Oryctolagus cuniculus: one gene and its partner. The main gene of each other region encodes a partner of the protein of the gene in region 2 in a complex. Links are inferred from orthologs where the notes say so. Each region holds a gene or a part of one and is shown on either strand. Other genes may lie near its edges.

Region 1 (3,796 bases), on a different chromosome or scaffold from region 2:
CCAGGGTCCCCCCCTCGGTCACCTGAGGAGTCGTGGCCCGAGTGCTCGTGGGTCTTCTCCCAGGTGCCGCCCTCCTCCTTCCAGATGATGACTTTCCGGTCGTAGGAGCAAGATGCCAGGATGTTGCCATACATGGGGTGGGCCCAGGCCACCTGCCACACAGGACCCTCGTGCCTGCAAGGGGAGGGGACAGAGGCTGCTGCCATGTGGTCAACGACCCAGGTGCCCCGGCCGGGCGTCTCCTTGGGCGGAGATGAGTGACTTCCTGGGCAGGGAGAGCCGACGGCTGCCTGAGCACTTCCACGCGAGAGCCGTGGAGCGTCACTGCCCTCGGGATGCCCTGTGGACGGCAGGACCCCGAGGCCACGCGGCCCTGCGCGGAGTGAGGACTCTGGAAGTGTCCGTGGCCGGCCAGGCAGGGATCTCACCTGCACCAGATCTGCAGCCAGGGCAGCTCCGCTGACTGCGGCACGGGCGTCAATCCCCCAGCAGGTGCGCCTGGGGCTCAGGGGCACCGCAAGGCGGAGCCACCATTCGCCCGCCTTCCCCGTCACCTTGCCGAGGCGGCACTGTCCACCTGGGTGTTCGCGACGGGCACCGCAAGGCGGAGCCACCATTCGCCCGCCTTCCCCGTCACCTTGCCGAGGCGGCACTGTCTACCTGGGTGTTCGCGACGGCCTTCACCTGCTGTCACGCCCCCTGCTGGCTCTGACTCAGGCCAGGGTCACAGGCGCTCTGTGGCTTTACCTCTACCTGGAACGCAGGCGTCCGGAAGGCTCCCTCACAGCTAGGCTGGGGGTTCAGTGTCCGTGCTCGCTCAGGGACAGAGCCGAGAGGACGAGCAGAAGGAAAACCACTGACCACGAGCCAGCAGCGCTCCCCTCCGGGGACGACGGCTCACTCCCGTCCCACGCAGCGCTGACCGAGGCAGTCAAGGACGGGGGTGTGAAGTTTGTCACCGTCTAGCGCCTAACATTCTCAGAGCATAAGAAACTCATGTGGGAGCCGGCACTGTGGCGCAGCGGGTTAAGCTGCTGCCTGCAACGCTGGCGTCCCACGTGGGCACTGGTTCAAGGCCAGGCTGCTCCGCTTCTGACCCAGCTCCCTGGTATGGTACCTGGGAGGGCAGTGGAGGACGGCCCAAGTGCTTGGGCCCCTGCACTCTCACAGGGAGACCAGGAGAAGCTCCTGGCTGCTGGCTTCTGCCTGGCCCATCTCCAGCCCTTGCGGGCCAGCTGGGGAGTGAACCAGCGGATGGAAGGTCTCTCTCTCTGTCTCTCTGCCTGTGCAATTTTGACTTTCAAATAAATAACCTTAAAAAAAAAACAAACTCCCGAAACCTGCAGTGCTGTGCAAGGCAGCACCCTGGGGGGGGGGGGGGGGGGCAACCACAAACATGGGCCAGGGCTTCCGAGAGGAGTGACGTGGTGCGTGTGAACGGCCCTGGACCCCTGCGCAGGCCGACAGGCAGAGCCATGGCCATCCCAACGTTGCCGCCTGCACGGCCCCTGCAGTGCCGCTCCCGAGTGACACGTCGGTCGCCCTGGCTACGCCTGCACACAGCAGTACAGCTTCCACCTGTCAAGGCGGGGCAGTGGCCCCTGAAGGCGGGGCCCACCTGAGGGGGCACACCAGGGCTGAGAGGTCACACCTCGCCAGCCCCGGGTTTTCCTGAGAAGAGCCCCGCAGAGCCGCTGCCTGGCCCACCTGTTGTGTGCTGGGGGCAGCCGGGCGTCCTCACTGCTGAGCACACTTCGGGGTGCCTGGAACCCGGGCTTTCACTTCCTCCCCTGCCTGTGCCCTGGCGGCGCCCGCCCCCTGGGCACTCACCCTCTGAGGTCAGCGACGAGGATCTGCCCTCCGTTGCGCACATCGAAGATCTTGACGGACCTGTCGGAGGAGCAGGTGGCCAGGCGGGTGCCGTAGTAGTCCATCTGTGCGTCGTGCTGCAAAGGGAGACGGGGAATTCTGGGGGCCTGCGGGGGCGGGGCAGTGCGCACACAGGGGCGGGGCTAGCGTGGATCACGGTCTACCCACTTGGGACCGGCACCTCAGGCGGGAAGCCGGCAAGGCGGCCTCCTCACTGCTCTGCGAGGCCGCAGCCAGCTGGGCTCACAGACCCTTTGGGCTCCTTCCTCCATCTGGGCCCTGGGTCCCGCACGGGTCTTTGTCCCTGGGTTCCCTCACGCTTGTCCTTTTCCCAAGGAGCGGGCCAGTTACTCAGACACTGGCACCACCCTCGGATGCCCACAAACCACCCAGATCCAGGCCTGGCCCTGCCCACGGTTCTGAGTTCATCTGCGGCACCGCGAGTGGCACCTGCTGCAGAGGCCACTGGGAAGGCTCAAGGAGCCGCTGGATGACGAGCGCTTAGCACGGGCCTGGCGCACAGCGAGCAAGTTCCTCACTGCCGCTCTGCTCACCTGCTCCTCAGACCACACCGTGCAAGCGGGGCACAGCGGCGGTCTCCCCCCGAAGAAATGGAGGCCTGCTAGCTAAGCCGCTGCCTAGGGAGCCTCAGACCCCCGCCCCTGGTACCATGTGGCCGACAGCTGAACCACTCCTGAGGGAGTTCAGGCGACCTGAGCAACCCAAAGCGGCGGCAGGTGACAGGCCGTGAGGGCAGCAACGCAGGCAGGAGACGCTGTCCGTGGCCCAGGGACCCAGGACCAGGTCTCGCTCCCAGGCTGCCGCACGGCGGGGCCAGAGTATTCCTCCTGCTGTGGACTTTAGCCCCGGGCCTTCTCCTGCGCCCTGCCTCGGGCCACGCCCTGCATGAGGACTCCTGTCTGCTCTGCTGTCCCACAGCAGTCCTCTCGGGCTCCGCCTTTGCCAGTGGGGCCAGGCTGCAGTGGCAGGAGGAAGACAGAGGGGAGACCAGCGGCAGCCGGAGGACCGAGGGCCTGAAGCTACCATCGGTCCCCAGAAAAGGGGAGCCCGCACGACCAGGGCCCTGCCAGCTCACAGGGCACTGCCGGGAGGCGGACCAGCCACCGCCGCTGAACCACCCATCGGGGAGGGCGACGAAGAACTCAAGCGCTTCCTCTCACAGAAACGGGCCCGCGGCCGCCGGCGAGTACTCACAATCATGTCCTCGTGCGAGGTGTCCACGGTGTTGATGACGGACACCTACGACCAAAGACAGGCAGTCCATTACCCAGCCGTCACCGCGCCCCTCGCCGCGTCTGCGCCCCTCGCCCAGGACAATCGCTCCAACGACCTTCTTTGAGCCAACACGAGCGGCCTTGCCCTTGAGAAACGTGCACAAAAGTCACCCTGACACGGCAGTCAGCTCTTCCCGCGGGGGCTTCCGGGTGCGCAGGAGCCGGCGGGGCTCAGCCGCTGAGGAGGGACTGGCCGGGTGGCACGGGGAGAGAGCAGGCTGGGGAGGGGTCTCAGAGCACGGATGGGGCCAGACGGGGCTCGGGGCTGGGGGCCGCCCAGCCACCGCTGCCCTCCTGGGTGACAGAGCACGGGGCGCCCCGCAGTTGCTGATGAACAAAGCGCTGACCCTGCAGACTGCGCACTTCATCCGGGCTTCTCTGCGGCCGCTCCCTCGCCTGCCACTTGCGGCCTCCAAGGCTGCAGAGCCGGGAGGGCTGGGCCACCTCTGCCATGGCCGGCCCCCTCCTACCTGTCCTGAGGTCCAGCTGCAATTTCAGATGCCCAGCTGGCTGGCGCATGCTGCACCCTCAGCACCATGGTCCGCACCCCACCAGACGGGGAGCCCCCTGGAGCCACGGTCTGAGTCATCTGCACTTTTTTTTTTTTTAAAGCTTTATTTATTTATTTGAAA
Region 2 (4,467 bases):
GAGGACAGCCCAGGTGCTTGGGCCCTGCACCCGCATGGAGACCAGGAGGAAGCACCTGGCTCCTGGCTTTGGATCAGCATGGTGGGCTGGCCACAGCGGTCAATGGAGAGTGAACCAATGGAAAAGGAAGAGGAAGAACTTTCTCTCTGTCTCTGTCTCTCTCTCTCACTGTCCACTCTACCTGTTAAAAAAAAAAAAAAAAAAAAAAGAATGCTATTTCCGGGGCCACTGTGGTGGTGCAATGGGTTAAGCCACCGCCTGCAGCACTGGCATCCCATGTCGGTGCCAGTTTGAGTTCATTTTGCTCTACTTCCTATCCAGCTCCCTGCTGATGTATCTGGGAAAACAGTGGAGGGTGGCCAAGGACTTGGGTTGCTGCCCCCATGTGGGAGACCCAGAAGAAGATCCTGGCTCCTGGCTTTGGCCTGGTCCAGCCCCAGCCATTGTAGCCATCTGCGGAGTGAAACAGCAGATGGAAGACCTCTCTCTCTCTCTCTCTAATTCTGCCTTCCAAAGCAGGCAGGCAAGCAAGCAACTTCGGAGTCTGCAGTTCCCATCTTCACCACCAGTCCCGGCCGCAGCACTTCTGTACACGCTGCCGAGTCAGACTCACAACTGCACAAGCTGCCATCTCACTGATCCTCAAGGGTACACGTGCAAGTGAGCACTGCAGAGTTGCTGTCAAGTACCACATGTCCTTCACCACTAACTGGTGACAGTAATACCACATGGCATTGTTTTATAAAGCAAATAACACTTGTATAAACCAAAACAGTTTCACCTACAGACAGCAGGTTTACTCTGAAAAATCTAAAAGCTTTAATTTTTTAAAATCATTTTGACAAGATGTGGGATGCTTTGAAAAGTTTATTGTTTTGGCCTTTTCAGACAGGTACTGTGAAGAAGTTTCACTTTTTCTTTCCACATTAATTTTAAAAAGTTAATAGACTGGTTCCTGCCCCTCCCATTGATCACTAGAGTGAACCACAAAACCATGCTAATTCACACCAAGACACATCCTTCCACTAATCAGGAAAGCAGAAAGAAAAATAGAAACTCCCACAGGCAGCTCAATTACCCAATTCACTTTGTTCTCCTACTATGACAACTGCTGTTCAGGTTTAATTATTTGCTGCTACTTCATAGCATCCTAATATAAGTGTCAGCACTTGCTCTGCAGGTCTCTTCAATTACGTTTCTATTTCAAAAAAAAAAAAAAAAAAAAAAAAAAGGAGTGAGACTACCTGGGTTTCTGTGAGAATTAAAGGGTTTGCAGTTTAGTAGCTTCCAAATTAGCAGGCTCAGAGACAAACACACAATCCTGTTCTGTCCTAGCTCCCAGTGGAAGCAATTAATGAGAAAGGTGACAGGGATACGGTTTTTCCCTAGGAGTCTAGCACCTCCCCTGGGTGACTGGGCCTCTGAGACACCATGCTGACAGTGCCAGCGGCTTTAGGATCCCTGCATCCAAACGCTGCTGCTCAAAGCCTCGATAGGTGCTACTTATCCAAGGGCACACAGAGCAAACTAGTGGGAGGCTCCTCCACTCATTCATCTTTATGGCAAAGCAATCCAGATTTCCCTCCAGAAAAATCACTGGAGTATGGACACAAGGCCCGGCACAATGTTAGTATCTCAGTAACTCCTTGTTGAATAAATGAGTGAGTAGAAGTCTGGCACACGGAGACAGCTGAATAAACAGGCTCTCCAAGACACTGGCACAGGAGTGGGGAAGGGGGAACATGCTGTCTACTGTCAAACAACTGCACGACCCCGCGCAGATACCCACTACTAGGCAAAGTACTGTTCTGAGCTGACACACGCTCTGGGGGCAGTGCCTTCCACCAATGGCCCCATCGCGGGAGGCCTTGGCCAAGTCACTGGGGATGAAATGGGCATCAGCTTCCCCCTTTACACCTACCTTCCTTGCATGGTTCTTCCAGGAACCACAAAAAGAAACCACACATAAGCAGCTCAGCACAAGGCCCAACATACAGAAGTCACGACACAGAAAAGTGGTAAAATTCCTCAGTGAGGGCTCACGTTTTTCGAAGCGTAACATGTGCCCACCACTGTGTGTGTGTGAGAGACAGACAGACAGACACACACACACACGGATGACCGCCCCAAATCCTCACGCCAATCCCGTGAGACAGGATTACTCCTTCCACTGGTGAGGAAACTGGCACGCAGAGAGCGATGACAGCCTATTACCTGCGCCAGGATTCGAACCCAGGCAATACGTACAGGGTCCACTATCACAGCATCAGCAACCACTTAACCGCTTAGGCGTCGAAGCAGCCGCTTTGCGAGCAGCATTTCATGGAATCCACCTCACCCCACCCCCAAAACCAAGGGTCAGGTCCACGCAGAAGTTCCACGACTTGCTCGACGCCCCCTCGCTCACCACCTTGGGCATGAGGCACCTCCCTCAGCCCCCCAAGGCGAACCCTATTCCCTGTACCCCCTACAAGGAACCTCGACACCCCGTCCATGCCCACCCCAACTGTCATCAAGCGCCTCCCGCCCGCCCGAGCCTGACAGCTCCAGGTAACCGGGTAGTCCAACTCCTCAGCCAGAGCCGGGGGTCTCCCGGCAACCCCTAGGACCAGAGAGGCCGCGTGGGGGAGGGGAACCACTGAGGGCGCATGCCCAGACTGCTCCGTTCGGACCCCAGCTCACCTGGGAGTCGCGGAACTCCACCACGACGTTCTCGCTGCTCCATCGTGCCGCCATCCCCCTCGCACGACCTCAGGACAGGGCCCTCGCACCCCTCAGACTCGCGTCCCCAGGCTCCGTGAGCCCCACGCAGCCTGTGAGTCAGCCCTGCCACGCCCCGTCCCCCTCCCATTTTCGCCTGACCGCCAATTATTGGCTGACCCAAGCGACAGCCCCGCCCCATCTCTCCATCTCCTCCAATTGGCGCACCGCACCCACCCAAAACAGGCACGCCTCCTCTCACTTCCGTCATCAGCTTGAGCCACCCTCGCGCTCCGCGGGTGCGGACACGCCCCCCGCCGCGAGCTCTGCGGGGAGTTGTAGTTTGAGGTGGAGCCGCGCCGCGCGTCAGTGACTCCGGAAGAGCGCGCAGGTTAGCGTTTGCTTGAGGCACTTGTTGGTGTCCCCGGCATTTCGCCCAGACCCAGCCTACCAGGCAAAGCCCAACATTCATGCGAATCGAAGGAACCTCTTCTTCCCCTTTAGTCTGAATGCTGGACTTACTGTTTCTTACAATACAGTAGCGCCTCCCAAATGTCCGGGGATTCCTTGAGGGTCTCTGAAGACGAAGCAGTTTTCATAATCACATTAAAAAATCATTTTCGGGGCCGGGGCTGTGGCGCAGCGTGTTAAAGCCCCAGCCTGCAGCGCCGGCATCCCATGTGGGCGCCAGTTCCAGTCCCGGCTGCCCCTCTGCTATGCTCTGCTATGACCTGGGAAAGCTGCAGCAGATGGCCCAAGTGCTTGGGCCCCTGCACCTGCGTGGGAGACCTGGCGGAAGCTCCTGGCCCCTGGCTCCTGGCTCAGCTCTGGCCCTTACAGCCATTTGGGGAGTGAACCAGCAGATGGAAGATTTCTCTCTCTCTCTTTCTTTAACTCTGTCTTTCAAATACATAAAATAAATCTTTTTAAAAAATGATTTTCGGCCGGCGCCGCGGCTCAATAGGCTAATCCTCCACCTTGCAGCGCCAGAACACCGGGTTCTAGTCCCGGTCCGGGCGCCGGATTCTGTCCCGGTTGCCCTTCTTCCAGGCCAGCTCTCTGCTGTGGCCAGGGAGTGCAGTGGAGGATGGCCCAGGTGCTTGGGCCCTGCACCCCATGGGAGACCAGGAAAAGCACCTGGCTCCTGGCTTCGGATCAGAGCGGTGCAGTGGCCGCGGCGGCCATTGGAGGGTGAACCAACGGCAAAAAGGAAGACCTTTTTCTCTGTCTCTCTCTCTCTCACTGTCCACTCTGCCTGTCAAAAATTAAAAAATAAAAATAAAATAAAATAAATTAATTAATTAATTTTAAAAAATGATTTTCACTTTCTTTCCCCAGTGTAGCAGTGGAGTTTTCCAGAGGCTACGTGATAAATATTGCAGCGAATTGAACGTAGAAGTGGATGGGAGAAACCGACTGTTTTCTAGTAAGCCAAATGTTGACAAGATTTACAACTCCTCTCGCTAACATTTTTTGGTTTTGGAAGATATATTTAGTATTTTTCATTTTAGAATTTATTCATATGAATTAATTTTTCAATGAGATAATGAATTTTTTCAAATCCTGTTTTGATTTCTAACAGTAATTGCCTACATATACAGGCAACATAGAAATATTTTGTGGACTTTGGCCGGCGCCGTGGCTCACTAGGCTAATCCTCCGCCTTGCGGCGCCGGCACACCCGGTTCTAGTCCCGGTCGGGGCGCCGGATCCTGTCCCGGTTGTCCCTCTTCCAGGCCAGCTCTCTGCTGTGGCCAGGGAGTGCAG

What was found.
Region 1: the proteins of WDR59 (region 2) and SEC13 are in contact, whole or in part, in a cryo-EM structure (PDB 7UHY), measured with the Homo sapiens proteins. The link is inferred for Oryctolagus cuniculus from reciprocal best matches to the Homo sapiens genes WDR59 and SEC13. Residues at the interface, in NP_085058.3 of Homo sapiens: Ala525, Tyr526, Gly527, Asp531, Ala532, Asn533, Ile534, Pro535, Phe536, Pro537, Arg538, Thr539, Ser540, Gly541, Ala542, Arg543, Phe544, Cys545, Gly546, Ala547, Tyr549, Val551, Phe553, Thr554, Arg555, Met557, Ala644, Gly645, Lys646, Val647; in NP_899195.1 of Homo sapiens: Val4, Ile5, Asn6, Thr7, Val8, Asp9, Thr10, His12, Asp14, Met15, Ile16, His17, Asp18, Ala19, Gln20, Met21, Asp22, Tyr23, Tyr24, Gly25, Leu28, Val42, Pro59, Trp61, Gln62, His67, Pro68, Tyr79, Ser105, Asn107.

The regions. Positions count from the first base shown.
Region 1 is NC_091441.1:116,549,056-116,552,851, reverse strand, and holds part of SEC13 (protein SEC13 homolog), read right to left. Parts: intron 3,130-3,796; coding exon 3,085-3,129; intron 1,947-3,084; coding exon 1,831-1,946; intron 1,568-1,830; exon of another isoform or gene 661-1,567; intron 578-660; exon of another isoform or gene 207-577; coding exon of another isoform or gene 175-206; coding exon 23-174; intron 1-22. UniProt on the Homo sapiens protein: Functions as a component of the nuclear pore complex (NPC) and the COPII coat. At the endoplasmic reticulum, SEC13 is involved in the biogenesis of COPII-coated vesicles.
Region 2 is NC_091449.1:57,463,711-57,468,177, forward strand, and holds the start of WDR59 (GATOR2 complex protein WDR59), read right to left. Parts: upstream 2,846-4,467; 5' UTR 2,737-2,845; coding exon 2,683-2,736; intron 1-2,682. UniProt on the Homo sapiens protein: As a component of the GATOR2 complex, functions as an activator of the amino acid-sensing branch of the mTORC1 signaling pathway. The GATOR2 complex indirectly activates mTORC1 through the inhibition of the GATOR1 subcomplex.